Linked DNA regions of Callithrix jacchus. The protein of the gene in region 2 interacts with the protein of the main gene of each other region in a pairwise test. Links are inferred from orthologs where the notes say so. Each region holds a gene or a part of one and is shown on either strand. Other genes may lie near its edges. The genes, in order: TBC1D10C and KLHL12.

What was found.
Region 1: the proteins of KLHL12 (region 2) and TBC1D10C interact in binary tests that used the Homo sapiens proteins (3 or more experiments, as listed by UniProt). The two-hybrid records come from large-scale screens. The link is inferred for Callithrix jacchus from reciprocal best matches to the Homo sapiens genes KLHL12 and TBC1D10C.

The regions. Positions count from the first base shown.
Region 1 is NC_133511.1:124,477,770-124,493,337, reverse strand, and holds TBC1D10C (carabin), read right to left. Parts: upstream 11,060-15,568; 5' UTR 10,796-11,059; coding exon 10,644-10,795; intron 9,916-10,643; coding exon 9,816-9,915; intron 9,602-9,815; coding exon 9,494-9,601; intron 9,407-9,493; coding exon 9,289-9,406; intron 9,100-9,288; coding exon of another isoform or gene 9,092-9,099; coding exon 8,985-9,091; intron 8,410-8,984; coding exon 8,344-8,409; intron 8,212-8,343; coding exon 8,022-8,211; coding exon of another isoform or gene 7,758-8,021; exon of another isoform or gene 7,633-7,757; intron 5,855-7,632; coding exon 5,700-5,854; intron 5,423-5,699; coding exon 5,066-5,422; 3' UTR 4,744-5,065; downstream 1-4,743. Other genes in the region: PPP1CA (serine/threonine-protein phosphatase PP1-alpha catalytic subunit), read left to right, coding at 13,281-13,335, 13,866-13,997, 14,154-14,384, 15,108-15,212.
Region 2 is NC_133520.1:29,958,717-29,973,968, forward strand, and holds the start of KLHL12 (kelch-like protein 12), read right to left. Parts: upstream 12,847-15,252; coding exon 12,673-12,846; intron 11,197-12,672; exon of another isoform or gene 10,637-11,196; coding exon of another isoform or gene 10,517-10,636; intron 8,859-10,516; coding exon 8,628-8,858; intron 3,016-8,627; coding exon 2,862-3,015; intron 1,178-2,861; coding exon 960-1,177; intron 1-959. Other genes in the region: transcription and mRNA export factor ENY2-like, read left to right, coding at 12,833-12,856. UniProt on the Homo sapiens protein: Substrate-specific adapter of a BCR (BTB-CUL3-RBX1) E3 ubiquitin ligase complex that acts as a negative regulator of Wnt signaling pathway and ER-Golgi transport.

The DNA.
Region 1 (15,568 bases), on a different chromosome or scaffold from region 2:
CAGGAGGATTGCTTGAACCCAGGAGTTTGTGACCAGCTTGGGCAACATAGCAAGTCCCTGTTTGTACAAAAACTGTTTTAAAATCGGTTGGTTGAGGTGGTATGGGCCTGTCATCCCAACTACTTGGGAGGCTGAGGTGGGAAGATCACCTGAGCCCCGGGATGGAGGCTGCAGTTAGTCCTGGTTGTGCCACTACACTCTAGCCTGGGCAATACAGTGGGACTCTGAGACCCTATCTCTCTCTTCTTCTTCTTTTCCTCAGGCTGGGGTGCAGTGGCACCACCTCGGCCCACTGCAATCTCCACCTCCCAGGCTCGAGTGATTCTCCTGCCTCAGCCTCCTGAGTAGCTGGGATTACAGGCGTGCGCCACCATGCCCAGCTAATTTTTGTATTTTTAGTAGAAAAAGGGTTTTGCCATGTTGGCCAGGCTGATCTTGAACTCCTGACCTCGTGATCCACCTGCCTTCGCCTCCTGAAGTGTTGGGATTACAGGTGTGAGCCTCCATGCCCGGCCAGACTCTATGTCTTGTCTTGTCTTTTATTTTTTTTTTTAAGGCAGGGTTTCACCATATTGGTCAGTCTGGTCTCGAACTCCTGACCTCAGGTGATCCACCCACCTTGGCCTCCCAAAGTGCTGAGATTACAGGCATGAGCCACGACGCCCAGCCGTCTTTTTTTTTTTTTTTTCGAGATAGAGTCTTGGTCTGTTTCCCAGGCTGGAGTGCAATAGCGTGATCGCTGATCACCACAACCTCTGCCTCCTGGGTTCCAGCAATTCTCCTGCCTCAGCCTCCCAAGTAGCTGGGACTAAAAGTGTGCACCACCACGCCCAGCTAATTTTTGTATTTTTAGTAGAGATAGGGTTTCACCATGTTGGCCAGCATGGTCAAGCTCTTGACCTTGTGATCTGCCCTCCTTGGCCCCCCAAAGTACTGGGATTACAGGTGTGAGCCACTGTGCCCACCCCCACTATCTCTTTAAAAAAAAAATCTGCTCTACTCATCAACACCACATCCTCAGTTGAAGCTACAGTCTCTCCAAGATACACATACTCACACCCAAGCCCACCCACCCAAATAGCCACAGAAGGGTACACCAAGAGACCTGGATCACAGCCACGATTTACCCCCAGCACACCCGCTCAGCCCCTCTCCCTGCCTGGCTCAGAGCTCGACACACATTGAGCCCCAGCTGTCCTTGGGAGCCCCTTGGCCTGGGGGAGAGTACTGAGGGGCCCACACACTGTGGGGACAGAGATGGCAGCTGTTGGATGCTTTCTGCAACTATATACAGGGCAGTCTGTGCAGCCATCCTGTCTACCACTGGAAGGGTCGGCAGGGAGGTGAAATGTCTTCTCCAGAGTGCCCCACCCAGCCCACATTCCCCACATAGCTTCCAGGTCCACCTGCAGCCCTCCCTGCACCCGGCCCAGGCTCCAGGAATGAGGTGCAGCCACCCCAGGAGACCCAATCCCTTGCTGCATGGGTGGTCTGAGCTCCCATGGGATCCTACTGTGGGGCCTGGGTGTCATCCAAAGAGCATGAGTTTTGACATTTAACAAGCTCTACAGGCCAGGTGCGGTGGCTCACACCTGTAATCCCAGTACTTTGGGAGGCCGAGGCAGGCAGATCACCTGAGGTCAGGAGTTTGAGACCAGCCTGACTAACTTGGTGAAACCCTGTCTCTACTAAAAATACAAAAAATGAGGCCAGGTGCAGTGGCTCATGCCTGTAATCCCAGCATTTTGGGAGGCCAAGACTGGCGGATCACCTGAAGTCAGGAGTTCGAGACCAGCCTGGCCAACGTGGTGAAATCCCGTCTCTACCAAAAATACAAAAATTAGCCAGATGTGGTGGCAGGCACCTATAATCCCAGCTACTCGGGAGCCTGAGGCAGGAGAATCATATGAACCCACGAGGCGGAGGCTGCAATGAGTTGAGATCGCGCCACTGCACTCCAGCCTAGGGAACAGAGCGAGATTCCATCTCAAAACAAACAAACCAACAAGCTCTGCAGCCCTGGGGACTCAGTTTTCTCTCTTCAAGTGGGGATACAGTGCACACTGAGCCCAGACCTAACACTGCACAGGCAAGGGAGCAATTATGAGACTCAGAGAGGTGGTGTGACTTGCCCAAGGTCACACAGCTGGTGATTGGCAGAGCTGGGATCTTCTGCCAGAATGCGTGCGTGCATGCACAGAGAGCTGTGTGGTTCTGTGCCCACTTTCAGGCCACCCTGGCTGGTCCCCACTGCACTGGATACAGGGAGGATAGAAGGAGGAAAATCAGAATTGGGCAGCTGCAGCCCCAGCTCAGGACCCTGGGACTTGGGGCAGGCAGGTGGGCAGGGTGGTTCAGCTCTACCCTTGCCAGGAAAGCCTGGACATCACCCCGAGGCAGAGCTGAGCCAGGTAGGGGTGGGGTGAGGAGGGGCAGTGCTTCGGCTGCTGCCCACCTGGACTAACAGTCGTCACTATCATCACCATCATCATGTGCTGGTAGAGCGGTCTTGAAGCTGGGGTGGGGGCATTATTATCCCGTTATCCACAGGAGAAACTGAGGCTCAGAGAAGGAGAAAGGGCTTTTCCCATGTAGGGGATTCCAAGTCTGATACCTCTGGGAGCCTGGAACGCTGTGGGAATTCAGGGAACCTCGAGTGGGTGGCAGAGCAAGACGGAGACCGTGGGTCCCCCCATCCATGGCGGGCACCCATTTGCCCCCCTCATTCCTTTGCATGCCCCCACTCATGTCCACGATGCATGCCCCACTCTGAGGCTGACAGACATCCCAGGGGCCCTCCCAGCATCAGTCCCCACACGCTGAGTGCTCTCAGATGCATCGCTTCCCTTCTCTGAGCCCCTTTCCAGGCAGGTCTCTAGGGCGTTTCTAGGGTCTCTGAGTACGGTTGCGTAGGTTGCTCACTGCACAAAGGCACCTGGGTGAGAGATCCCTCCCCACTCTGTTACACCGTGCACTGTGATGAGGCATGTTGCCTGGAGGAGAGACATATTTCCCCAGCTAGCAAAAAGGTGCTGTGGGGGCCGGTGCAGCCCTGCGGAGGAGGGCCTGTGGGAATGCATTCTTTTGAGGGTTCACACCAGGAGGGCACTGGTTCTGTCCGACCTGTGAGTCAGGGCTCTTGTGCAGAGGACTGATAACGAAACCTACAGCTGGGCTGCCAGAAAACAGTCTCCTGAGTAGGAAAGGCAGTGGCTGAGCCCCAGCTAGAGGGACCCTGCTGGAGACCACCTGCTCCTAGGGTCAGTGTCCAGAGTGAGCCACTGCCACCATGCCCCCGCAGGTTCATGACAGACCCTTGACCCAGGGCTGAGGCTGCTGCACCTTGCTCCCCTGTTCTCCCAGGAGAAGAGCTGAACCTGTGGAGGGTGGGGAGCTCCCAAGTGGACTTCAGGGACAAGTGCCCCCACCCTGGCCACCCTGCCTGCTACAGAGCCTGAGATTCCACCAAGAGACTCCCTGTCTACACAGAGCACTCCGGCCAGCTTTGCCTTTCACTGTGGGGCTGGGTGAGGTCCCTGGCCTCACTGATCCTGTGTGTCTCTAACAGGGATATCAGGGGCTACGTGCAGAGAGAGGGCCTGGTGTGCGGGGTGGTTCTTGGAAAGGGTTTTGTAAATTATAGGTAAGGGGGTTATTAATAAGTTGTACGCACCCCAATGGGGTGAGGAGGAGTGGGCGGAGGGAGGCTCTGGAGTGCTAACTCAGGAGTCCTGCTGCTGCCTCGTCTACACACTGGAAGGCTGGTGCAGCATTGGGGATGGGGGAGAAGGGGCAGGAGAATGCACCCCTCCCCAGGGGGCTGCCCAGGGGGGAGCTGCCAGTGGTCGGGGCAGGGGTAAACCTTGGGACTGCTATGAACAGTAAGGCTGTCTGCAAGTTCCTGCTCCTCCTCAGCCTGTTTCCCCCAGAGAAATGACAGATAAGGGTCTAGGCCACCATGATTCCCTCTTCCAGGAACCCAGGGCCTGGCACTTACCACACAGACACAGCCTGTGGCCCTGTCGAAAGAACATTCCAAACCCAGAGTCTGACAGGTGACTCCACTGACACCCACCCGATGGACAGCCCCGGAGCCTGGGCCTGCAGATGCCTCCTGTCCATTAGAGTCCTGCTGTGTTCCCCAGAGAGGGGAGGGCACTTGGGAACCGGCCCCATTGCCCCGGCAATGGCTCAGGTCCTGGGCACCCACGGGGGCAATTAGTGAGTGTAGGATGGGGTTTCCATGGTGGCGGTCCTGAGGGGGCAGACGCGGGGCTCTGGGAGGGGTGAGGGCCGGCGGGACCTTTCTCCTTTGTCCCAGGCACACTGGGCCTTTGTTCTGCCTGGGTCCCTTTGACAGATGTGACCAGGACCATGGGTGCGGGGAGGACTTGGGTTAGAGTCCCCATCCCAGAGAGTCCGGAACCACCCTGGAGGGAGGGAAAGGAGGGCAAAAGACGGGTAGAGCCCCTGGGCTCACCATCCTTGGGGCGCCCCCCTTCTACAGGTGCAAAAGCCATCCCTGTCCCCAGAGGCTGGGGGAGGGACACTTTCAATTGGCTCTTACTACTACTGTAAACACCTAAACACCTTCCCCAGCAGCCAGTGGGCAGCCTCGGTATGTCCCCAGGGTGGGACCATGGCAGGACCAGGAGAGTGCGAAGCTGGGAGGGGGCAGGTGAGAGAGGAGGGGAAGGGGCTGCCTGTTGGAGGTGGGAGGAGGGCATTTTATCCAGCACCATCTGAGGCATCTGTTCAAGATTTTATTCCTGGAGCTCTCTGGGGTCCCTCGGCCCAGCCGACCCCTTCCCCGACTTGTTCAGTGCTGGCTTTGGTACTCGTGAGGGCCTGGCACCAGGATGGCTCCATGGGTCCTCACGTGCCCCACTCTGGGACCCCCCCCATGCTAGTGCCTCACCCAGTATGTACCACAGAGGACCTCCTCCTCCTCCGCCTAGTCCTTGCCAGGAAGGAAGCTGAGCCCCCAGGTCCCAAGAGTAAAGTGCAGGGCTGGGCATCAGCCATCAGGTGATGGAGCCTGGGGGACACTGAGTCCATGGTCCTCTCAGAAGCGGGTGTCCAGGAAGGAGGTGGAGCTTCGTTGGGGCCTGGGGGGTCCCTCGAGGGGGGGGCCTCGGGCCCGAGTCAGGAGCCCATGGAAAGTCTTGCCTCGGGTCTGGGGTTTCCGCCGTGGTGGTCTGGGCTCCTCTGGGGGCTGCACCACGATCCGAGGCACCTCAGGCTTGGCACCTGGTTGCGCCCCTGCCAGCTGCTGGGCCTCGAAGATGGCTTGGGCCCCGGGGAGGCGGGCCTGTGGCCGGGGTGGGGGCCCCGGTGCAGAATCGGGCAGCTGGGCCAGCTGGGCCAGCTGGGCCTTGATTTCCCGCTGCAGGTCCCGCTCCGACAGCACCACGCCGTGAACCTGTGGGGAATTATTGGTGCTGAGTTTGGTCGGCCTCAGGGCAGAAACAGGAAACTGTGAGGTTCCCAGTCCCGGAAGTGGCTGAGGACTGAGGGGCTAACAGGCAGCCTCACTGGGGAGCCATAGACAGCCTCTGAAGGCCTGGGGTTTTCATGTTCTCAGCTGCTCAGGGGACAGGAACTAAGCCCCCATTCTCACTTTGGCTTCCTGCCCTGGGACTCAGTTTCCCCCGTGCAGCAGGGACTGGGCCAGTTCTCGGAGAGGCGGGGGCACCCACCTGAGACATGAAGACCTCCTCCTGCAGCTGCGTTGGGGAGATGGCTCGAAGGGCTCCCAGTGTCTCCAGGAGGCCAGGGCAGGCTCTGCGCTGCTCTGCAGTGCCCAGCGCCAGGCGCACCAGCGTCAGCCCCACACGGAACAGCACTTTGGCACCTGTGGGCCAGGGGCTGGCTCACTCCACAGTTCTGCACCCAAACCTGCTCTCAGCCGTACATCTGCCACTTTCCTGCAGCTCTGCCCTCCCCGGTTCAGGAGCAATAACAGAAGGTGGGGTTACATTTCAGGTGACACAGGCCACTGCACTGGCCAAGTTAGCCTCAAGAGCCACAGATGCTTTGGGGCAGAGTTAATATCTTTCAAATTTGGTTACTGCCACCTCCCATCCCCGCCGCCACCAGAATGAAGGTCTTGATCACTTGATTCTCAGATGCCAGATCCACGTCTAGAGCCAGTGAGCGCCTGGCAGGTGCCTGTGAGCTCCAGGGAGAAGCACCTTCTCCCCTCCCTCAGCCCATCAAGCTTCCATGTGCTGTGATCACCCAGCTCCTGCCCCAGGCAGCATCCAGGTGACAGGTGATGTGCCACCAGGCACAGGGCCATCATCTTCAGCACACCAAAAGGGAACCCCAGAGCTGGTGAGCTAGTTCCCCACCCACACCTCAATGCTCCCGCCCCCACCAAGCCACCAGCTTCCTTCCAGGAGCCGGGGGCTACTGGTGAGTTCACACCAAGCCCTCCCTGGGCCCCAGCTTGCTCATCTCCACAAGGAACAGGGAAAGGTGAGGTGATGCCCTTTAAGACCTTTCCAGCTTGGATCTGTGACCCTCTGATTCTAGAAAGACCTAGGCAGAACTGCTCTCCCCTAAGCCAGGAGCATAGCGCTCCCCACACATGTGACCTTGGGCTAGTCCTGAAGCCTCAAAATCCCTTCCTGGCAGCCTCTGATCTGAGAAGAGCCACCAGGGCACCAGCCAGGCTGAGTGAGGACCGTGACCGTCGAGGAACAATCACTACTCATGCTATTGTCCTTCTGATAAGGGATCCTGTGCAGGGTTTTCCTGTAGGTGGACGGGTCATGCCCTGCCCAGCTCTGCCCAGCCCTGTTCCAGGAGTGACCACAAGGATAGCGACTTGGACGTCTGTTGCCAGAACTCGGCAATGGTCCTCCCACTGGGTGGAGGGCAGGAAGCCAGCTGAGCACCCGAATGACACTTAGTATGCATGCTGACTGATTTCTGCCACGTTTTTTTAAGGTGCAACCTCCAGACCTCACATATAGAGCAGAATGCAGGGGCCGGGCACGGTGACTTAACGCCTGTAATCCCAGCACTTTGGGAGACTGAGGCAGGTAGTTCATGAGGCCAAGAGATCGAGACTATCTTGGCCAACATGGTGAAACCCCATCTCTACTAAAAATACAAAAATTAGCTGAGCATGGTGGCATGCACTTGTAGTCCCAGCTACTCAGGAGGCTGAGGCAGGAGAATCTCTTGAACCCAGGAGGTGGAGGATGCAGTGAACAGAGATCGCACCACTGCACTCCAGCCTGGTGACAGAGCAAGACTCCATCTCAAAAAAAAAAAAAAAAAGAACAGAATGCAGGTGGGTTGCTGATGGAGGTATTGAGGCGGAGTCTGAAAGACACAGGTAGTCCAGCTTGGCTCTGCCCTGACTCCCCACCCGCTCTTGGCCTGGCCTCCAGCATCCCCCTCTCTGGCTTCACAGCTCCAAGCCCTCTCTCCTGCATTGACTGTAGCCTGGCCCCTGGGGACAGTGGCTTTCCTGGCCCCAGGCCTCTACAGAGACCCCTGTGAGTCCTCCCCCTGCACAGAGCAGCCAGCAGCAGCTGAAATGCAGCCGTCACCCTGCACTCCCCTGACACTCCCTGTCATATCCCTCGTTTTATTTTCTTCATGGCACTTCTGACAATCTATAAATATCTTGTGAATTTGGTTACTGTCGCCACCCACCCCCACCCCCGCCAGCATGAAGGTCTCAATCACTTGATTCCCAGCTGCAGATCCACGTCTGGAGCCAGTAAGCACCCAGGAGGTGCCTATCCCTGAGCGGCAGAGGCCTCCACGGGCTGTGATCGCCCACTTCCTGCTTCATCTGCCTCCCTGGAAGCCTCCCTGGCCAGCTCAGCACCAGGTGGTGCCTGGGTGATGGGTGATGGGTGATGTATCGCCAGGCACCAGGTCAACAACTTCAGTACACCCAATCCGTGATTCAAGGCCCCAAAAGGGAACCCTGGGGCTGGTGAGCTACCTCCCACCCACACCCCAAGGCTCCTGCCCCAGCCCCTTACTGCCCCACTCACCCTCACTGAGGAAGGCATCCCAGACACGCAGCACTGTGGGGAAGGGCAGGGAGCGGGAGAAGAGGCACAGGAACCACTCCGGCAGGTAGAGCAGGGGTCCGACGCCCACCTGCTGCAGGTGCTTGTGCACGTGCGGGAGCAGCCGCCGCAGCAGAGCCATGAACACCTCGGCGTCCAGCCGCACGGCCTCCTGTGGCATGTCCATCAGCTGGCCAGCACTGTCACTCCCAGAGCCCAGGCTCTGCCTCCCTCAGTCCCCCAACCCCACCCACTCACCAGGGCCCTGCCCCTCCTTCCTCCAGCCCCCATGCCAGCCTCTCACCATGTGGGGCCCGTAGTAGCCAGGGAGGTAGACCTCACAGATTTGCACCAGGCACCAGAAGGCCTCCTGGGGAAGGGGCAGGGCACAGGTCTATGAGTGCCCACCAAGGAAGCCACCGCGAGAGGAAGGCAGGATGGAGGAAGGACTGAAGGGGAGGGCCTGGGCACCACAGTGGGATCAGGGCCATTCAACCTGCTCAGCTCCTGGGAAGCCCTTGCCAAAAGCCCCCTCCTCTGCCCAGGACAGGGCCTGCCAATGGGTTTAGGGTGTTGGAGTCACAGATTTGAGGATGAGAGTTGGGGTTCACTGGCCAAGGTTTTGGAGTATCCCAAAGTTCAAGTCATGGGTTTCTGGGGTCATTGGGGTTGGGGTCACACTCCCTAAGTTCAGAATCAGGAGTTGTGGGGTCAAAGTGATGACATCCAGACTCCCAGGTGACTAGGGTCAAGGCTGAGGTCAAGGTTCCTAGAGTCAAGGTCATTAGGCTGGAAGGTCACTGTGGTTGGCAGTCATGAGGCCCTGGTCACTAGGACAGGGTCTAGGGATCAAGGATCCCAGGTTTCTGAGGCCACAGTTCCTGGGGTTGGGGTTCCCTGGGCCTAGGTCACTAGGGTTCCCAGAGCAAGGTCAAGGTCACTCACCTCTGGGGGCAGGTGCATGAGCAGCACAGCAGCCACAGGCCCCTGGGCCTGGCAGTAGCCCTGCTCCGGTCGATACAGGGTATAGGCCTTGAGCACGTGCAGGAGCCCTTGCTGCCTGTGCCAGAAGACCCCATAAGGGGCCGGTCCTGCAGGCACCCCTTCTCCGCCCTCTGGTGGCCTCTGCCCAGGCCTCAGCCTCCCTGGGCCTTGCTGGGTCCCCTGAGATGCAAAACTGTAAAGCTGGGCTGGGGAAAGTGGGCCAGAGCACTTGGGGCTCGTGGGGCTGAGGGTCCCTGGGCATCACCTGCCTCGTACCCGTGGCCCTGGGGTGACACAAACATCTCGTGCAGGGGGAACTGGCGGTGCAGGTCCCTGCCAATTGTCTCCATCCACTGTGGGTCTCCAGGGGCCTCTGCCAGCTCCTGTGGGTAGCCGGGAAGGTGGGTGTGAGGGTTCGGTGTGGTGCGTGCTCTGGGTAAGGGAGCTGGAGCCCCTGCCCACTCCCTCACCTGATAGGTGCCAGGGTTGTTCTTTTGGCATACATGGGCCCCGCACAACAGGGGCCAGCACCGGGCACGCAGAGCAGATGGGATACCTTTCCGGCACTGCATCTTTACCTGTGGGCGAGGCCGAGGGCTCCGCTAGGCAACCTCCCTAGCTCCCGCTGGCAGGCCCCAGGCACAGCTCATCAGCAGGCAGGGGCCCACTCTGGGTGGCAGGGAGCAAAGGCAGGAGGTGCTGGGACCCAGGGTGGGTACATTTTGCCAAGATGTGGGCCAAGGCAGAGAGGAATGAGCCATGGAGACCAGTGTGGGGCCCCTGTCCTCTCACCTTCTTGTACCTCCGGGACATGGTTTTCTCCCAGTGAGAGGTCATCTCCACCCACTTCATCTCCCGTTGGCGGATGAGGTCTGCAGGGGGGTGGTCCGGCCTGGGGGTGCGTGGCACAGGTATCCAGGAGCTCGGCAGCTGTTACCCAGGGCCCACGCTGCCACCCAGTTGAGCCCAGCTCCTGGCCCCAGGGATCTCTGGGAGCCCTGTGGGATGACCTGTGACCCAGGAGCTGCTAATGCTTGTCAGGGGGACAGGAAAGGATGTGGATCCAATGTGGGCAGAAGCAGGAGACTGAAGAGGTGAGTGGGTGTATGTTGGGGGAGGAGCAGGCTGGCTGTCACGCAGGACAGGGACACAGACAATTCATAGAGGAAGCTGGCTGCCGAGAGCCCTGGATTGGAAGCCCGGAGTCCTGAGTTTGAGTCTGGGTCTGTCTCTGATCCCCTGTGTGACACAAGTTTCTGTATAGATGTGAACTTGTGTTTCTGTCTGCAGCTTGGGGAAAGGGGGAAGGAGGAGGTGTGGGTTCTGGGACTTGGATCTGGGATTCCTGGGCCAGAGGTTTGAAGGGGAAGGATATTCTGCCCCAGCAGTGAGTGAAACCCTCAGGGGTTGGGGGTAAGAGATGTACAGAGGCCTCCCCCTACCCTTCCGACCTTAGGTTCCACCTGGAGCCTGCAGAGGGGTGATACTGGCTGAGTCCCCCTCCCAGTCCCTACCACCAGACCCTCCCAACCTCCCTGAGTTAGGCCTCACTACAGAATTCAGCCCTCCCCCGGCATCCTCTGTCCCAGTATCCCACCATCCCTCACCCTGCCCCCTTACCCTGGCTCTGCTGAGCTGCCCCCAATGAATCCATAGCGGTCGGCCTGGCGATATGGGCCAGGCCCGCTGAGTTCTGAGTCCGACCCCAAAGAGCTGGAGTCATCCTGCAGCCCGGGCGACTGGACCAGATCCTCCCCCAGGGCCTGGGCCATGGTGCCCTCAGCCTTCAATGCCACAGGCAGAGAATGTGGGGAGAACCAGTGTGAGGGACCACTCTGGCCAGGCTGGGGCCTGGCTGCAGGGTCAGAGCTGAGAGGTTTCAGGGTATCTCACCAAGCCCCCTACGTCTCCTCTTTTATGGGGGCGGGGGCTAGGCCCCACACTGACTGGGTCTCTGTCTGGAGACCCAGCCCCAGGCCCAGCCCCTGTCCCCACCAGCCCAGCTCACCTCCGGCAGCACCTCACCTCCTCCTCTCACTTCCTCCTCCTCACACAGCTTTGGCAACCGCTGGGGGCCCCTCCCAAGTGTAGGGAGGTGTCACCCCTTCCTCTCTGACTCTTCCTGCTTGCCCCAGTGCCCCTGAGCTGTGGGCTCCTCCCACCCTCCCCAAGCTACAGGCTTGAGATCCTATGCTGGGTGTGTAGAGCCCAGGCCTGCCTCACCAGGAGGCCACCCACCTCCAGTTTGTTTGTTTGTTATGAGACAAAGTCTTGCTCTTTCGCCTAGGCTGGAGTGCAATGGTGCGATCTCGGCTCACTGCAACCTCCACCTCCCGGGTTCAAGTGATTCTCCTGCCTCAGCCTCCCAAGTAGCTGGAATTACAGGCATGCCACTATGCCTGGCTAATTTTTGTATTTTTTAGTAGAGATGTGTTTTTGCCATGTTGGCCAGGCTAGTCTCAAAATCCTGACCTCAAATAATCTATCTGCTTTAGCCTCCCAAAGTGCTGGGATTACAGGTGTGAGCCACCACGCCTGGCCTTCATGTTTCTTTTTTTGAGAGAGTGTCTCACTGTTACCCCGGCTGGAGTGTAATGGCATGATCTGGGCTCACTGCAGTCTCCACCTCCTGGTCTCAAGAGATCCTCCTGCCTCCCTGGCAGCTGGGACTGCAGGCATGCACCACCATGCCCAGCTAATTTTTTTTTTTAATAAAATGGAACGCTTCACGAATTCATGTGTCATCCTTGTGCAGGGGCCATGCTAATCTTCTCTGTATCGTTCCAATTTTAGTATATGTTCTGCCGAAGTGAGCACAATTTTTTTTTTTTTTTTTTTGATACGTTCTCTCTCTCTGTCACCCAAGCTGGAGTGCAGTGGCGCCATCTCAGCTCACTGCAACCTCTGCCTCCTGGTTCAAGTGATTCTCCTGCCTCAGCCTCCTGAGTAGCTGGAACCACAGGCACGTACCACCATGCCCAGCTAATTTTTTGTATTTTTAGTAGAGACGGGGTTTCACTGTGTTAGCCAGGATGGTCTCAATTTCCTGACCTTGTGATCTGCCTGCCTTAACCTCCCAAAGTGCTGGGCTTACAGGTGTGAGCCACGGTGCCTGGCCAATTTTTGTGTTTTGTGTTGAGACGAGGTTTCGCCATGTTGCCCAGGCTGGGCGCAAGAGATCATTATGCCTCAGCCTCCCAAAGTGCTGGAATTACAGGCCTGAGCCACGATGGCCAGCCCACCTCCAGTTTTGAGGTTACTGGTGTGTAAAGCACCCAACTCAGGGTTCCAACAGTAATTACGGTTCATGTAATGTCTACTCTTTATAATTCTTTTTACGTGCACACCCTGCAATATTACTGTGCTACTCAAAGCTTATTATGGGGCCAGGTGTGATGGCTCAGGCCTGTGATCCCAGCCTGGCTAGCATGGAAACTCCCCGTCTAATAAAAATACAAAAATTAGCGGGCGCGGTGACATCCGCCTGTAGTCCCTGTTACTCTGGAGGCTGAGGCATTGTCATCGCTTTAACCCAAGAGGGGAAGGTTGCATTAAACCAAGGTCGCGCCACTGCCTTCCAGCCTGTGGGACAGAGCAAAACCCGCCTCAAAAAAAAAAAGCTAATTATGGGACTTATAAGAAAATATTAATTTAGCATGCCCCAAGGACCAAAGTGCGCTGGGAATTCTAGCTGTCTTTGAGTGTGGTCAGCCGCCTGGGGGCCACGGAGACCCACGAGGAAGGGGGTCCTCGGTGCAAGCGAGGTCCAGGTCTTGAACCAGCCTGTCGCTATGTCTTGAACCTCAGTTTCCCTTTCTGCATTTGGAGAAGTTAACCCTCAGTGCGGGGCAGCCGGTTATTAACGTGTTCACGACACCCTCCACCCAGGGCAGGGGTGGGAAGGGCTGTTCAGCTTTTGAAAGAGAAAAACAACTTCCACATTCCTTCCGGCCCCACATCCTCGAAACGGAGCTGGGCGCCTCCTCTCGGGCGTAACTAGCCTCGGCCCCGCCCCCGACAGACACCGCCCCCAGCCCGCCGCCGAGGCCCCGCCCCCTGGGCCTCCGCGCCTCACATCCAGCGGGGGCGCTAGAGCGCGGGGGGCCGGGCAGGGCGGGCCCGGGAGGCCCGGAGGCGGAGCGGCGGGCCGGGGGCGGACTGGGGCGGGCGGAAGGAGAGCCAGGCCGGAAGGAGGCAGCCGGAGGGCGGGAGACGGGAGCGGGCCCGGAGCTGCTGGACTGGAGCGGCGGCGCCGCCATGTCCGACAGCGAGAAGCTCAACCTGGACTCGATCATCGGGCGCCTGCTGGAAGGTTGGCCGGGGTGGGGAAGGTCCGCGTCCGCCGCGCCCTGGACCCCTGCCCAGCCCGGAAGTGGCGCGCGGGCGGGCCCCCGGGGCCAGCTTAGACTGGGCGGGGACGCGCCGCGAGGTTCCGTGGCCGCAGCCGCCCCCCCCCGCGGACGCGCCTGAGAGGTCCGGGGCCGGCTTCGAGGCGCGGAGCAGCCCCCTCTCCCCGGCCGGGGGCTCACGGGTTGCCTCGGCTCTTGGGGCGAGGGAGAAACCCGGGAAGCCCGGTCCAGGGAGGTGTCTTGCGCTGTGAGGTTTTGGGCGGCAGCCCCCTGCGCACGACAGTCGCCTCCCGAGCCTTTGAGGATAACTAGGGGGGCTTCCCTTGGGAGGCTTGAGGCCGACGTCCCAGGAGGCTCAGCAGCAACAGCTGCCTCTGGGCAAGGAGGGGCCGAGGAGGCCTAGGCGCCCCCGGAGGTATCCACGGGGCCACCGTGTCGCCCACCCTCCCCCTGTCTGAGAGGCCAGGGTCCTGACTCCGCATTGCGCCCCCAGTGCAGGGCTCGCGGCCTGGCAAGAATGTACAGCTGACAGAGAACGAGATCCGCGGTCTGTGCCTGAAATCCCGGGAGATTTTCCTGAGCCAGCCCATTCTCCTGGAGCTGGAGGCACCCCTCAAGATCTGCGGTGAGCAGCCCCCAGCCTCGCCCAGGCCCCTTTGGCTTCCTAAAAGTGGCACTGGCCCCCACAAAGTTCCTGGAGCCCTCCTCCCTTGAGCCTAGTCCTGGCCCTGGGTTCAAGTCTAGACCCAGCATCTAGCTTACTCGGTTCCATGGGTCACAGGTGACATCCACGGCCAGTACTACGACCTTCTGCGACTATTTGAGTATGGGGGCTTCCCTCCGGAGAGCAACTATCTCTTTCTGGGGGACTATGTGGACAGGGGCAAGCAGTCCTTGGAGACCATCTGCCTGCTGCTGGCCTACAAGATCAAGTACCCCGAGAACTTCTTCCTGCTCCGTGGGAACCACGAGTGTGCCAGCATCAACCGCATCTATGGTTTCTACGATGAGTGTGAGTGGTCTGAGCACCCAGGGTTGCCCGGGTCCCGAAACGCTCCTTGCTATTCAGTGGGACCCTCACATTGGCTTCGTATCTGACAGACACTTGCTAGACTGTGCGCTCCACGAAGGCAGGGCCCGCTCCATTCTCGTGCCTGCCCTGCCCTGCCTGGCACGGGGTCTGGGGCATGGTTGCTGACTGGAAGGCTGCTGGTATTCTGGTGCTTGCTCCCAGGGCCCTGCCTGGTGAGGCTCCACTTACATCTGCTACTAAGCACTTAGGATGTGTTTGCAGATGGGCTCAGCTGTCCAGAAGCTGAGATAAACCAGACCTGTACTTGGCCCAGCTTATGGGTGGGGGTGTTTGGGGAGTGCCAGCCCTGAGGCCGGTCCAGATTGGAACTCAGTTTTCATTGGACTTGGGTGCTTTAGAATTACTTCTGGCAGGAAGATCACTTGGACCCAGGAGCTCCAAGTTACAGTGAGCTATGATCTCGCCACTGCACTCCAGCTGACCCTGGGTGACAGAGCAAGACTGTTTAATTAAAAGTTAAAATAAAAAGTAAAGAGAATAGTTCCTGGAAGGCTGATAGGCTGCAGGGGCAGGAGTGGGGACAGGGGCAGGGTGCAGGGTGGTTTGCCTCCAAGCCTCTCTCCTCCCATCTGCGTCTGAATAGCCCAGGGACCCAGGTGGAGGGTGGGGTAGGCGGGCCCCTCACAGCCATCTCCTGGGCAGGCAAGAGACGCTACAACATCAAACTGTGGAAAACCTTCACGGACTGCTTTAACTGCCTGCCCATCGCAGCCATCGTGGATGAAAAGATCTTCTGCTGCCACGGAGGTGAGGGAGGGGACGGCTGGGGACAAGGAGACCTGGCCGCATCCCCCATTGCCGGGCCAGCTCTCCTTAGGTCTGTCTCATCTGGGAAGTCACTCCTTCTGGGAAGTGTCTCCCATACCCCTGTGCCGGGCTGCGCTGACTCCCTTGTGCATCCTACATGGAATAGGCTTGGCTTGTCTATCTCCCGGGAGCTCTGCGCTCCTGAGGGCGGGGACATCTTTGTGCCTCTTTGGGAACCTGCAAAAGCTGAGGGGAAGGGGATGACTTCTGCCGCCTGGGTGCCCAGGTGACCTGTGGAGGAATCAAGGGGGCAGTGGGAAAGGTGAGGCTGATTGGCCACAGCTTCCTGGAGTGAG
Region 2 (15,252 bases):
TATTCCTTTTTCTTCCCCCACAAGAGACAGGCTCTTGCTCTGCTGACCAGGCTAGAGTGCAGTGATGTGATCATGGCTCACTGCAGCCTCAAACTCCTGGGCTCAAGAGATCCTCCCACCTCAGCCTTCCAAGTAGCTGGGACCACAGGTGCTCACCACCATGCCAGGCTAATTTTATTTTTTTGTAAAGACGGGGTTTTGCCATGTTGCAGGCTGGTCTCAAACTCCTGGGCTCAAGCAGGTCTCCTGCCTCAGCCTCCCAAAGTACTGGGATTACAGGCATAAGCCACTGCACCTGGCCTACTATTCCTTTAAGATCTAGTTCACCTGTCCCTTCCTTCCATCCCCTGCACCCTCAAAAGAAAGTTTTGATTTGTCTCCTGCTTATGAAGATCCTCACTTCCAAACTTTTATCTCTTCATTTTTGATCCACACCTGGGTTTATTCTTCTTTCTTCTATGTAATGTCCTTACTTTGTATAGGCTCATTATTCTCATTATCCTCTCAACCTTTTTTTTTTTTTTTTTTATCTATATCCCTGTCTCTACTAGCATATTGTGAATTTTCTGAAAGCAAGAAACTATATTTACCCACTTGGGGATCTGTAGCACCTGGCATAGTATTGCTGCATAGTAGATATTCTCAATAAATTTTGTGAACTGAGTGAATGCGTAATAAAGACGTGTTCTACAGATACCGACTTTACTTCCAATTTCTGCTTATTCTATACTCTGTTTAATAGTGATTCTTACCGATTGGGATCATACACCTAACTGAAGAAAGTAGCAGACTCCCTCTCCATAAAAATACAAATAAATTTGGTACAGGAGGGATTAATGAAATCTTTGAGCCAATATGGACACTTGAATATGAAGCCCTGGTAAGTAACTGCATCCTACTTTGCCAGTTTTGTAATTGCCCAATCTTGAAGAAACCATAACACAAAGACAAATCTGTACCTGAATTTCATCACACTTGATTAGCTTTTCCACCTCTCCTTGACTCAGAAGAATGAATTCTTCATGCTGTACCACTTCAGGAAAATGCTTCTGGCTAAAAACCTCAGCTGCTTGCATCAGGTCAACACAATTGTGGGTTTCGGCAAAATCCCTAATACCCAGGCAATTAGAAGGGTCCAACTGACTTTCTAAGAACTCACAGCAGGCTTGTTTCACACCTAGGATAGACACAGGCAGCAAACACTTTAGAATAGTCAGACAGGTGTGATCTACTCTATATTCTTATATGTTGACATCTTCTCTACATGTTATCAGATGAACCCTAAGAAACAGATTAGAAATTCTATGCTTAAGGATCTTAAACTCTATTTCTGGCTTACATGCTGTGTCACTTTCAGCAAGACCTTTACACCCGTCTCTGCTTATTCTTTAAAATCAGTATTGCAAGATGAATTGCATCCAGAGACACTAGCACAGTTCAACAAACATGCCTATAAAACTCTTGGGAATCAAACTATAAAACCAATTACTAATTCAGCATAATGTACCTATTTTCTACTCTACACAAAAACCTACTAAATGACTCGAGTGAAAGAAAAGCAGAAGACAGTAATAACAAATCTCATATTTACCTAATTGAAAAGTTCAGAGTATTTAAATTTTACAACTATGCACTAATGCAAAAGCATCACGCTATTTAAATCATGTATTAAAAACTAAAAATGTGTCAATTATGTATATATAAAAACTGAGAATAATGAAAACATAACTGAATGTTAAAAAAGAAAAACCGGGGCCGGGCGCGATGGCTCAAGCCTATAATCCCAGCACTTTGGGAGGCCGAGGCGGGTGGATCACAAGGTCAAGAGATCGAGACCATCCTGGTCAACATGGTGAAACCCCGTCTCTACTAAAAATACAAAAAATTAGCTGGGCATGGTGGCGTGTGCCTGTAATCCCAGCTACTCGGGAGGCTGAGGCAGGAGAATTGCCTGAACCCAGGAGGCGGAGGTTGCAGTGAGCCGAGATTGCACCATTTTGCACTCCAGCCTGGGTAACAAGAGCGAAACTCTGTCTCAAAAAAAAAAAGAAAAGAAAAGAAAAACTGGGGACCAGGAATGGCAGCTCGATCACTTAAGCCCATGAGCTTGAGACCAGCCTGAGCAACACAGAAAGAACTCATCTCCACAACTTTTTTTTTTAATTAGGTGGGTATGGTGGCATGCATCTGTGGTCCCAGCTACTCAGGAGGCTGAGGTGGGAGAATTGCTTGAGCCCAAGAATTCAAGGCTACAGTGAGCTGTGACTGCACCACTGCACTCTAATCTGGGTGACAGAGGGAGACCCTGTGGTAAAAACAAAACAAAAAAACCCAAAAAACCTGGGAATTGTACGGGAAAACAAACCATCTGTAATCCTGTGAAAACTATCATTTTTTTGTGCATGAATTTAAAGTTCATTTAACAGATATTCTACATAGTTCAAATATTTGAAGATACAAAAGGGTTTACCATGAAAAGTCCCCCTAGCCTCATTATCAACCTGGCTACTTAATGGCCAGGTAAATGAAGAGTATCCCTGTAGGCTATGTAAAATATCAGTTTTTTATACTTCTTACAGATGTGTTATATACATGTATGTAAGAAAATACATAATTTCTTCTTACATTTTTTTAAAAAAAAAAAAACATGCAAGTGCTCCTTTCATAGAGCCACATATGCATATCAGAAGTTCCTTTATACTGCTATTGACATCTGATTTTTTACTGCTTAATGAGACAAAAGGGATAGCCAGTAAACGTGAGCATCCAGTTTGTCTCCAAAATGGTCACGATTAAGTTTACACTATTAATTTTCAACCTTTCCAGGGCTATTTTGACATAGCAAGTTTTAATGTCTATACCTTTCAACTGAAGCAGACAGGCTGCAGGGAGTAGTTCTTGCACATTCTCCACCGTCACATGTACTGTTTCTGTGTACACAAAGTCCAATAAAATTTCCATAGTAGAGGCAGTCAAACCTTGGATGTCAACATAAGGCTTGCCCTTCTCTGAAAGCTGAAAATGTAAAAGGTATAAAAGAATGATGGTTATAATTCCACAAGATAAAGGCACAATCTCATATCTAAGAGCTTACAGATGTTAATAATATTAATTGAACATATATCTTTAAAAATTAAGGGCCAGGAGTGGTGGCTCACACCTGTAATCCTAGCACTTTGGGAGGCCTAGGCAGGCAGATCACTTGAGGTGAGGAATTCAAGACCAGCCTGGAAAACATGATGAAACTCCAACTCCACTAGAAATACAAAAATGAGTTGGGCGTGGTGGTACATGCCTATAGTCCCAGGTACTCAGGAGGCTGAGGCAGGAGAATTGCTTGCTTCAACCTGGGAGGTGGAGGTTGCAGTAAGCCCAGATTGTGCCACTGCACTCCAGCCTGGGCACCAGTGAGATTCTTTCAAAAAAATTTAAAAATTAAAAAAATAGGCCAGGCGCGGTGGCTCAAGCCTGTAATCCCAGCACTTTGGGAGGCCGAGGCGGGTGGATCACGAGGTCAAGAGATCGAGACCATCCTGGTCAACCTGGTGAAACCCAGTCTCTACGAAAAATACAGAAAATTAGCTGGGCATGGGGGCGCACGCCTGTAATCCCAGCTGCTCGGGAGGCTGAGGCAGGAGAATTGCCTGAACCCAGGAGGCAGAGGTTGCGGTGAGCCGAGATCGTGCCATTGCACTCCAGCCTGGGTAACAAGAGCGAAACTCCGTCTCAAAAAAATAAATAAATAAATAAATAAAAATAAAAATTATGACCTGTTTTGTTGGATTTGAATAAAGCAAATATGTCACATGTCTGTAGCTTTCCAAATGAAATGGGCAGTTATCTATACCCTCGGAGTAAATAATATGTGACACCTTCCTAGAATAGCAATGTTGCCAGTGAATAACTTTAAAAATCAATTTCATATTAAAATACAGACATAGGCCAGGCATGGTGGCTCACACCTGTAATCCTAGCACTTTGGGAGGCCAAGATGGCGGATCACAAGGTCTGAAGTTCAAGACTAGTCTGGCCAATATAGTGAAACCCCATCTCTACTAAAAATACCAAAAAAAAAAGTATCACAGAATAGAATGCAAAACTTCCATGAATATAACACTAGTCCATCAACTTTTAAGATAAAACACAAAATTTCTTTTCTTTGTCTTTGAGACAGAGTTTCACTCTTGTTGCCCAGGTTGGAGTACAATGACACATCTTGGCTTACCACAACCTCCACCTCCCGGGTTCAAGCCATTCTCCTGCCTCAGGTGCCGAAGTAGCTAGGATTAGACGCATGCACCACCATGCCCTGCTAATTCTGTAGAGACAGGGTTTCTTTATGTTGGTCAGGCTGATCTTGAACTCCCGACCTCAGGTGATCCGCCCACCTCAGCCTCCCAAAGTGCTCCCAAAGGCATGAGCCACTGCGCCCAGCTAAGACACAGAATTTCAAAAAAATTTCACATTTGTAGAGGACCTGTGGGTTATAACTCCAGTCTCTCCAGGATTACCTAGTTCCTATCATCTGTCCCTGGACTACATTTTTTTTTTTTTCTGGAGATAGGGTCTCGCTCTGTTGCCCAGGCTAGAGTGCACTGATGCGATCTCGGCAAACTGTACTTCTTCCCAGGTTCAAGTTATTCTCCTGCCTCAGCCTCCCAAGTAGCTAGGATTACAAGAGTACACCACCACACCCAGCTAATTTCTGTTTTGTTTTTTTTTTGAGATGGAGTCTCATTCTGTTGCCCAGGCTGGAGTGCAGTGGCACGATCTTGGCTCACTTCAAGTTCTGCCTCCCAGGTTCAAGCAATTCTCTTTCCTCAGTCTCCTGAGTAGCTGGGACTACAAGGATGTGCCACCACTCCCAGCTAATTTTTATATTTTTAGTAGAGGCAGAGTTTCACTATGTTGCCAGGCTGGTCTCAAAACTCCTGACCTCAAGTGACTGGCCCACCTCAGCCTCCCGAAGTGCTGGGATTATAGGCGTGAGCCCCCGTGCCCAGATAATTTTTGTATTTTTAGTAGAGACAAGGCTTCGCCATGTAGACCAAGCTGATCTTGAACTTCTGACCTCAGGTGATCCACCCACCTCTGCTTACCAAGGTGCTGGGAATACAGGAGGGAGCCACCATGCCTGGCCCTCAGACTACATTTAGTAATGATGAAAAAGAATATGCAGGTCATCCTAAGGGACTTTCTTATGTAACACCATCTGAATACAAATAAAGTGTTTGTTACTTTTTCAAAATATTGTTAGACTAACTGAATTGTTAGTAGTATATCTCCTTGAAGCTGTTGAGTATTGATGAGGCCAGATAATCATAGAAAACTGTTGAGCTAAGAGAAGAAATCTTCAACTTTAAAGGAGAGTAAATTATCTAAAAATACCTTATAAAAATTTTTACTGAATCTTAGTTTAGAAATTTATTTTACTAACAAAAATCTGGTGTACCTCCATTATGAACTAAATTGCTTTATCATGTTTGATTTCTCCGTCAGCCAGAGAATAACCAAAAAGCACTCTCTACAAAGCCAAGAACAAAATCAATCCCTAACAGTAAAAAAAGTCAAGAGCACATTATTTTGAAAAAACATATTAGGTTTTATTAACACTTAATACAGTACTAATATTTATAAACAATTACTGTCCCAACACATTAAATACATTCAATTATGATACTCCCAAAACCTAAAATCCAATAAAAAATTTAAAAAAAAAAATTATGATACTGAAATATGTAAGTACACGTATTCCAGAAATTGAAATTTCTCACTCAATAACCTATATTTCCATCAAATAGTTTAAATATTGATTAGAGCAATAGTACATTTCACATTTATATTTTGCTTTAGAATTTTTCAGTGCTTCTCATTTTCTACTATTTCATCTGATTCTCCCAACAACCTGGTAAGGTAGTTAGATCTGATATTATTACTACTTAAGAGATAAAGGATCTAAGAATCAAAGCAGATATAGGACTTAACCAGAGTCACTCAGCCAGTGAGAGACAGATATCATTGCTATCAAAGTATTTCAGAAAAAAAAAAGAGAGACATAAAACCCAGGTCCTCTTGCCTCAGTCCTGTGATCTTTCAATCAGATGACATTTGAGGAGCATTTCATGGCTGAAGAGAACAAGGAAACCATCTAGTTCAACTACTTTATTTTACAGATCAACCCAGTGAAGTTAGATGGTTGACAGGGTTTATACAGAATTGCTAAGAGAACTAAGCCTAGATTCCAGGTCTCTGGACTCTCTCCTTTAAACCAATTACTCTGAAAAATAAAAACAAAACCATCTGGCATTTTTTTGCCTGATGTCAAGTTTTATTATTATTATTATTATTTTGTCTTTTTGTCTTTTTTCCTTTTTGTAGAGAACGGGGTCTCGCTATATTGCCCAGGCAGGTCTTGAACTCCCGGGCTCAAGCTACCCTCCCGCCTCTGCCTCCCTAAGAGCTGGGATTACAGGCGTGAGCCATAGCGCCCGGCCAGCCTGATGTCAGTTTTTAAAGAAAGAAATCAAAAATGAGAAAAAAAGAATTAATTTCTGAATTAAGAGTAAAGACAGAATATTTTCAAGCTGACAAAAAACAGGATACACAATACATAATTAGCAGTCAACAGTTCTAGTTTATTTGATGCTCAGCAGCTGCTGGGTGACACTCTCTTTACCCAGGTAAATTCCAAATGCTTCTGATGCTCTTGGTATATCCCATGAAGAACAGTATAGGACAGGGATCTACCTTGTTTTATCACACAAGTTCATTTAAAAATTAGCCTGGATTAGCTGGAATGACCTATCAGTTCCTGTTTTCCCTACTAGCCATGTGACTGAGCATCAGCCCATAGTATTTTTAACTATACTGGTTTTAAAAGTAGACTGTAGGATATAAAATTCATACTTCAGAGACTAAGGCAGCATAATAGTTAAAAACCATTCCGGCTTTGGCCAGGTGTGGTGGTTCACACCTATAATCCCAGCACTTTGGGAGGCCAAAGCAGTCGGATCACCTGAGGTTGGGAGTTCAAGACCAGCTTGACCAACATAGAGAAACCATCTATAATAAAAATACAAAATTAGCCAGATGTGGCGGCACATGCCTGTAATCCCAGCTGCTAGGGAGGCTGAGACAGTAGAATTGCTTGAACCTGAGACAGGGAGGTTGCGGTAAGTCAAGATTGCACCATTGCACTCCAGCCTGGGCAACAAGAGCAAAACTCCATCTTAAAAACCAAAATTAAAAAAAAAAAAAAAAGTTTGGACTTTATAAGACAGAAAATATAGAATTAAATTCTACCTTGAGCACTTATAATCCATGGGAGTTTGGGCAAGTGATTTAATATATGAAACCCTGTTCCTTCATTTGTAAAAATGAGATGGTAATAACAACCCCTAGGGTGAGTGAGATATGCACAACAATCACTAGCACAGTACCTGGCCCATAAAAGGTAGTTATTACCATCATAGAATATGCCTCTCCCATCCTGATCCAGTAGCAATATCTTCACTAAGATGATAGAACTAAAAAAAAAAAAAAAAAAAAAAAAATACTTGTGCTTAAAAAGATGTTTAAAAAAGTGTTTTTGTAATAAACTATTTCAGGCATACATATGGGTGTAGATAATATAATAAACAGTGGTGCACCCATGACTGAGCTATGAAAAAAAAAAAAATCAAGGTAATTCATTTAAATCTGCTCTTATAATCAGACTTGGGATCTTGAAAAACAAAGGCTTGCAATGTTCCTTCCTGTGCAGCTTTCTAGGAGCACTGAACACAATATAGCCTTACTCCACATTTCAAGTATTTTGTCAGGCAATTACTAAGCAGTGTTTCTTAATACTTTGTTAGCACTACCTGTATTCTGTCACGTCACCTTTTTCCTAATTCCCTTGGTTAAATGCTTATGAGCTAACATCTTTTTTCAGGTGATGTACTCTATACCTGTACAGCTATTCATTAAAAACTCTTCTTCCTTTCATTTGAAGTTATCCTAAAATCTACACTGATTTTTCTTCACATATTGTTAGGAGGAATGGGGTGAGATCTGAATCCTACTCCTCTCTCCTTCCTTCCTTCTTAGCCCTCTGGTATTCACTTAAGAATTTTTAAACTTTAGAAGGAGAAAAGGCCAGGTGCAGTGGCTTACACCTGTAATGTCAGGTGTGGCCACTTTGGGAGTCCAAGGCAGGAGGAACACTTGAGCCCAGGAGTTCAAGATCAGCCTGGGCAATATATAGTGAGACCCTGTCTTTACAAATAAATAAAATTAGAAACAAAAAAAGGAGAAAAATTGGAAGACAAATTTAAGAAATAGTAAAATACAATAGCTGACATTTGTGCTTTACTACATATTACACCATTCTAAGCACTTCGTAAGTTATTTTATAAGGTAATCTTCACAATAACCTTAATAATCATGTGTTATTACATATTACTATTACCCCTAATTTAAAGATGAGGAAACTAAGGCATAGTCAGGTGGTAGATCTTATCCAGAATCTGCCTACTTAAACATCACACTGTAAAAATTCACAATTATATCACATTTTATTCAGTGAAATTAGACAAGTAGAGTTCAATGGGAGAGTTTCATTTGTGTGGGGCTAACTTACCACTTACCTCACTAGTGAACATGGCACAGAAGTAATCACTACAGGCAGCCAGCACAATCCGATGGGCAGGGAAGTCTTTATGCTCCACTCTCAATGTCACATCACAGAGGGTATTGCTCTTCCTGAGGGAGTTCATTGAATTCAGGATGGATTTAGCATGAGTATTTGTCATTATGTCTTTGGGGGCCATAATGTCACCCAGAAAGTGGTGCAGAGAAACAAAAGGGGTCCTTGGATTCTGCAATTACAAGAGAAAAAAACAATGAGCATATTCAAAAAACTAGGGAAACAACATATTTATTAGCTTTACAAATTGAGAATCTAAGGGGCTTCCTCAGACTCAAACATATACAAGTAGAAGGCACTCCTATACCTGACATAACCACCACTATCTAGCTACTATCTAGTCCATGTAAAAGTTCTCTCTTCTTCCTCCGAATTCCTCTATCATGGAGTGTCCCTACCACTTGACATTTATTATGATGAACGCTGAAATGTAAGTAAACAATCTATGTCCTGTAAATCTTCACAAGGTTCTTGTGTCAAATGATACAATGAAAATATAGGCCGGGTGCAGTGGCTCACGCCTGTAATCCCAGCACTTTGGGAGGCAGAGGCGGACGCATCACGAGGTCAGATCAAGACCAACCTGGCCAATGTGGTGAAACCCCATCTCTACTAAAAATACCAAAAAATTAGCTGGGCATGGTGGCACACACCTGTAAGGCAGGAGAATTGCTTGAACCCAGGAGGCAGAGACTGCAGTGAGCCAAGATTGCACCACTGCACTACAGCCTGGGCAACAGTATGCGACTCTGTCCCAAAAAAAATAATAATAAAATAAAATATAAAATTCCTTAAAGGTATTATATCATTACTATTTAATATCCATAAGTAGATAAGCATTTAGAGGGTGAAGATCCTGCTTTATATGTATGCTTTCTATCCTAGAAGTTGCACAATAAATGCTTAGAATTGAATGCAAAAAAAAAAAGTGTGTATTCAACTTAGAGCAAGAAAGTTCGGTAAAAATGTACTTTTCTAAAGTATGCAAATAATTACGTCTGATGACTTCCAAATATATCTGGATTTCTTCTTAAAGTGAAACTTCAGGCCCAGCCCAGTAGCTCACGCCTGTAATCCCAGGACTTTAGGAAGCTGAGGTGGGCATATCAGTTGAGGTCAGGAGTTCGAGATCAGCCTGACCAACATGATGAAACCCTGTCTCTACTAAAAACACAAAAATTAGCCGGGTGTGGTGGCACATGCCTGTAATCCTAGCTACTGGGAAGGCTGAGGCACGAGAATTGCTTGAACCCAGGAGGCAGTTGAGAATTGCTCCATCGAGTGAGCCTAGATCATGCCACTGCACTCCAGCCTGGGCAACAGAGCGAGAATGCATCAGAAAAAAAATAAATAAATAAAAAATTAAAAACAGCAACAACAACAACAAAAAACCAATTGAGGACCCATTACCTACAATGAACTGTGGAAACCACCCAAGTGGACTTACTTGCTTAAGCTATTGAAGCTCTTCAACAAGAAGGTATTCCTACTCTACATCTGTAAATGTCAATTACTGTTAACGAATCAATATTGGAATCCAAAACTTTCTGAAATGATCCAAGGTTGGGAATCAAACGACGGTCTCTAAAAGTCCACAACTCACAATTTTTCAATAGGAAAAATGAGATCTTAAATTCTCATTTACTTATGTTTATAGTTGGCATTTTACACTACAAGCACCATAGATAATCCCTCCAACAACTCTGCAAGACCAATTTTACAGAAAAGCAGGTGATTCATCAAAGCATATGATGTTTTTCAAGAAGCCTTAAGTCAATTTAATTTCAACTCCAGGGGTGTAAAAAGGGTCCGAAACAAATGTCTATTTACCTTGATGACAATCTGGGAGGGAGGGGGGTTTGTCGTTTCCACATCAAAATGACAGTAACCCTGGTGCAAAGTGGTCTTCCTTCTTGGGGATTCCTGCCTCACCACTCCAAGTCTCAGCATATCCTTCACTCTCACCTTTCTGAAGTGACCTATTTTCTAGAACTTCCGTTAACATCTGAATAGAGGGATTCCACTTCGGGAGATTCGAGGCAGGGGAGGGGCAATACATTCGGGAAAGACTAAATTCTAGAGAAAGAAACGAAGTCCTTCCCCCTGACACCAGCAGGCATACATATGACCAGCACCGCCAGGTGGAGGTATGCGGAGAGATGAGAGGGCGACCGAGGCCAGACGCCCCACGCAGCCTTCCTCCTATCCAGGGCGAGCCTCCGATTCCCTTGCAGGGAGACCAAGGATGGGGGAAGGGCCATAACCCGGAGTTGATGGACAGGAAGGGAAAGACTGACTGCCATCACTTCCGCGCAACTCACCTCAGCTCCCGTGCCCACACAGCCGCGCCGGGCCTGTCCCCAGCCTGTGGGGATAGGGTGGGGCGCAGGGCCAGCAGGCGGCTCACAAGGAGCCGAAGCGCCGCCGCCGCCGCCCAGACCCGGAGGCTCCGGAGGCTCTGGAGCCTTCGGGTCTGGACCCCGCGGCCGCGCGACGTGATGACGCAATGCAGCGTGAGGACCGCCCTCCTCCCGCCGCAGAGTCCGCGTCACGTGATGAGGCGGTGTCACGTGACCTGCCTTATCGGGGGCGGGACTTCTGTAAACTGCTATGAAGCCGAATTAGAAAAAGGTCAGGTGGCCGGGGCGCGGTGGCTCACCCCTGTAATCCCGGCACTTTTGGGAGGCTGAGGCGAGCGGATTACCTGAGCTCAGGAGTTCCAGACCCGCCTGGGCAACACAGCAAAACCCCGTCTCCACCAAAAAATTTAAAAAAAAATTTAGTCCGGCGTGGTGGCCTGCGCCTGTAGTCCCAGCTACTCCGGAGGCTGAGGCAGGAGAATCCCTTGAACCCAGGCAGCAGAGGTTGCCGTGGGCCAGGATCGCCACTGTTATTCACGTCTAATAATACCGAAAATTAAATGCATTTAATATAGAGATTTTCCAAACAGGCTTTGTGTGGGCAACAAGGACATTTTATTTCTCGCTTGGGTGCAAGCGGACCGAATCTGAGAAAGGCGAAGAGAGTAAGGGTGGGAATTGGTTCTATAAGTTGGGGTAATTTTGGGGGGCGAGGGTGTTGCAGAGTAAGATCAGTTACAGTGGTCGGGGGTAGTGGCAAGGAGTATACATGACCACAAGTTCAGTTACAATGGCGGGTTGAGTAAGGCGGAAGAGCAGTTAAGATGGCAGGATGGGGCAAGGAGCATTCACATTATCATAAGAGCAGTTAAGATGGCAGGATGGGGTGAGAGGTATCCACATTTAACATAAGAACAGTTAAGATGGCAGGGTGGGGTGAGGGGCTTGTCCGGGGAAGCTCTGCTGGGCGATTAGGGACAATGGCCAACGCAGGCGGTGGGGTGGGAGACAATTAGCAGAGGCAGGCAGCAGGCAGGACTTCAGACGTTCTGGTTCCAGGCTTGCATATGGAGACCTGACAGCCACTGCACTCCAGCCTGGGCCACAGAATGAGACCCTGTCGGGGGCGGGGGGGGAGGCGGGGGGGGCGGGGGGAGGGCTGGCATAGTGGTCAGTCCTGTAATCCCAGAGGCCAAGGCAGGTGGATCACTGGAGGTCAGGAGTTCGAGACCAGCCTGGCCAACATGGTTAAACCCAGTTGCTACTAAAAATACAAAAACATTAGCCGGGCGTTCTGGTGTGCGAATGTAATCCCAACCACTCAGGAGGCTGAGGCAGCAGAACCACTGCACTCCAACCTGCGCGACAGAGTGAGACTCTCAAGAGAGAAAGAGAAAGAAAGAAAGGAAGGAGGGAGCGAGAGAGAGAAAGATAGAAGAAAGGAAAGATGGAAGGAAGGACGGACGGTTGGGTGGTGTGGGGTCCGCAGGAAGCCTGGGAATATAGCTCTACAGCTTGGCGATTGAATGAGCCTGAGACCCTCCCCACCGCTCAGGAGGCAGAGCAGACGGAGAGAATTCTAAGGCTTAATATGCTAAACATCTGAATGCAGGAAGTGCGTTTTACCTTCCAGGTACTGAGGAACTTTTTGCTATCGAGAAAACCCACGGAGGCCTCAAATTTCTTCCCTTCCATTGTCCACAATGACCTCTTGGGGCCGAACAACGCTGCGCAAGAATCCTCTGAGCCCTGCGATCCACAGACCTCGTATATACTTTGCGTCATAATGGGGCTTATCATCACCACTAAGGTGATTTTACTTCTTTCACTCCAAGACAATTAAGTGAAAGGAACTTGTGGCCACTACAAGGTGGACATTAAGAGGGAAATTGGAAAGAATCTTCTTAGGGAAATCTTAGACAGCCTTATCACCACTGTTACTCCCCTGCTGACATTTCACCAGGCTATGGTTGCTGAAGGTTAATTTAAGAAAGTTCGCTTCTAACTGATTTTGGTGCAGTTAGTGTCTGAAAAGGCAAAGAGGTTAATTGGTTCAACTTATCTGAATGTCTAGACAACAAATTGGTAATACTATTTTCTTCTGTGAGCCCCCTTTTTCTTTCTTTTTTTGAGATGGAGTCTCACTCTGTTGCCCAGGCTGGAATGCTGTGACATGATCTCAGCTCACTGCAACCTCTGCCTCCCGGGATCAAGCGATTCTCCGGCCTCAGCCCCGCCCCGCCAGGAACTGGGACTACAGGCACGCACTATCACGCCCAGCTAATTTTTGTATTTTTAGTAGAGACTGCGTTTTGCAATGTTGGCCAGGCTGCTCTTGAACTGCTGACCTCGTGATCCACCCTCCTCAGCCTCCCAAAGTGCTCGGATTACAGGGATGAGCCACAGCGCCCAGCCCTTTCATTCTTAAGGATACTAAAACCATAGCCAAGTGGGCAGCATTCTAAATTTACATTGCATCTCCATCTTCCATGTCGTGTTTTCCTTGTCTAAAACTGTCCCTGACTTCCACATTGTAGAGAAGAATGCAAGATTGTTATAAAATTTATTGGGGGCATTTTGGAAATATTTGTCAATTTTAATAAAATTATTCACATGCACATGTAAGACTACATATGTAAAAGATATGTACTACATATGTACAAACTGCAGCATTGTTTGTAGATTAGATTGACAACAACGTTAAATGTCCATTAGTAGGGGACCAATTCAATGAAATATAGTACATCCATAAAATCCAATACCATGAAGCTGTGAACAATCTGTATTCTCTATTATTGGGTAAAAAGGTGGAAGATCACGCCTGTAATCACGGCACTTTGGGAGGCTGAGGCGGGCGGATCACCTGAGGTCAGGAGTTTGAGACCAGCCTGACCGACATGGAGAAACCCCGTCTCTACTAAAAGTACAAAAGTAGCAGGGCATGGTGGCACACGCCTATAATCCCAGCTACTTGGGAGACTGAGGCAGGAGAATCGCTTGAACCCAGGAGGCAAAGGTTGTGGTGAGCCAAGATCATGCCATTGCACTCCATCCTGGGCAACAAGAGGGAAACTCATCCCCCCCACAAAAAATAAAACGTAGAAGATATATTCATATTTGCTTGTGTGTGTAAACTGTATTTGGAAAGACAAAATAAAGTGGTAACATTGGTTTCTTTGGGGAGAGGAACTGTTTGGCTGTGAGACAGGGTGGGAAGGAGAGTTTTGCCCTTTATAATTTTTGTTTGCCTTTTGAATTTTTCATCATGTGAATTATAAATAATGTTCAGAGCCTGGTGCAGTGGTGGGCACCTGTTGTCCTATCTGCTCTGGAGACTGAAGTGGGAAGATTGCTTGAGCCCCGAAGTTCGTGACCAGCCTGGGTGACATAGTAAGACCACGTCTCAAAATATATTTATATGTTCAAAAATTTTTTTTGAGACGGAGTCTCGCTGTGTCAGCCAGGCTGGAGTGCAGTGGCTCGATCTCAGCTCACTGCAACCTCCACCTCCCGGGTTCAAGCAATTCTCTGCCTCAGCCTCTCTAGTAGCTGGGACTACATGTGTGTGCCACCACGACTGGCTAATTATTTTTGTATTTTTAGTAGAAACGGAGTTTCAGCATATTGGGCAGGCTGCTCTAGAACTCCTGACCTTGTGATCTACCCTCCTCGGCCTCCCAAAGTGCTGAGATTACAAGCGTGAGCCACTGCGACCGGCCTTATATGTTCAATTAATTTTTTTATTTTTATATGTTCAATTTTTTAAATGGCAAAAATAGTCTTGGTCCAGTGGCTCATGCCTGTAATCCTAGCACTTTGGGAGGCCGAGGAGGGTGGATTACCTAAGGTCAGGAGGCCAAGACCAGCCTGGCCAACATGGCAAAACCCTGTCTCTACTAAAAATAAAAAAAGTAACTAGTCATGGTGGCACACACCTGCACTTCCAGCCACTTGGGAGGCGGAGGCTGAAGAATCGCTTGAATCTGTCAGGCAGAGGTCACAGGGAGCTGAGATCCCGCCACTGCACTCCAGCCTGGGCTACAGAGCAAGACACCATCTCGAATAAATAAATAAACAAAATAAAAATAAAAAGTAAAAATAATTCCTTGTTTTCAGAATGTAAAATAGTACTTTAATGATATTGCCTAATTCCTGACTGCTAAATTAAGGATTTTTCCAAATATGAGAAGGAACTTAATAAAACAG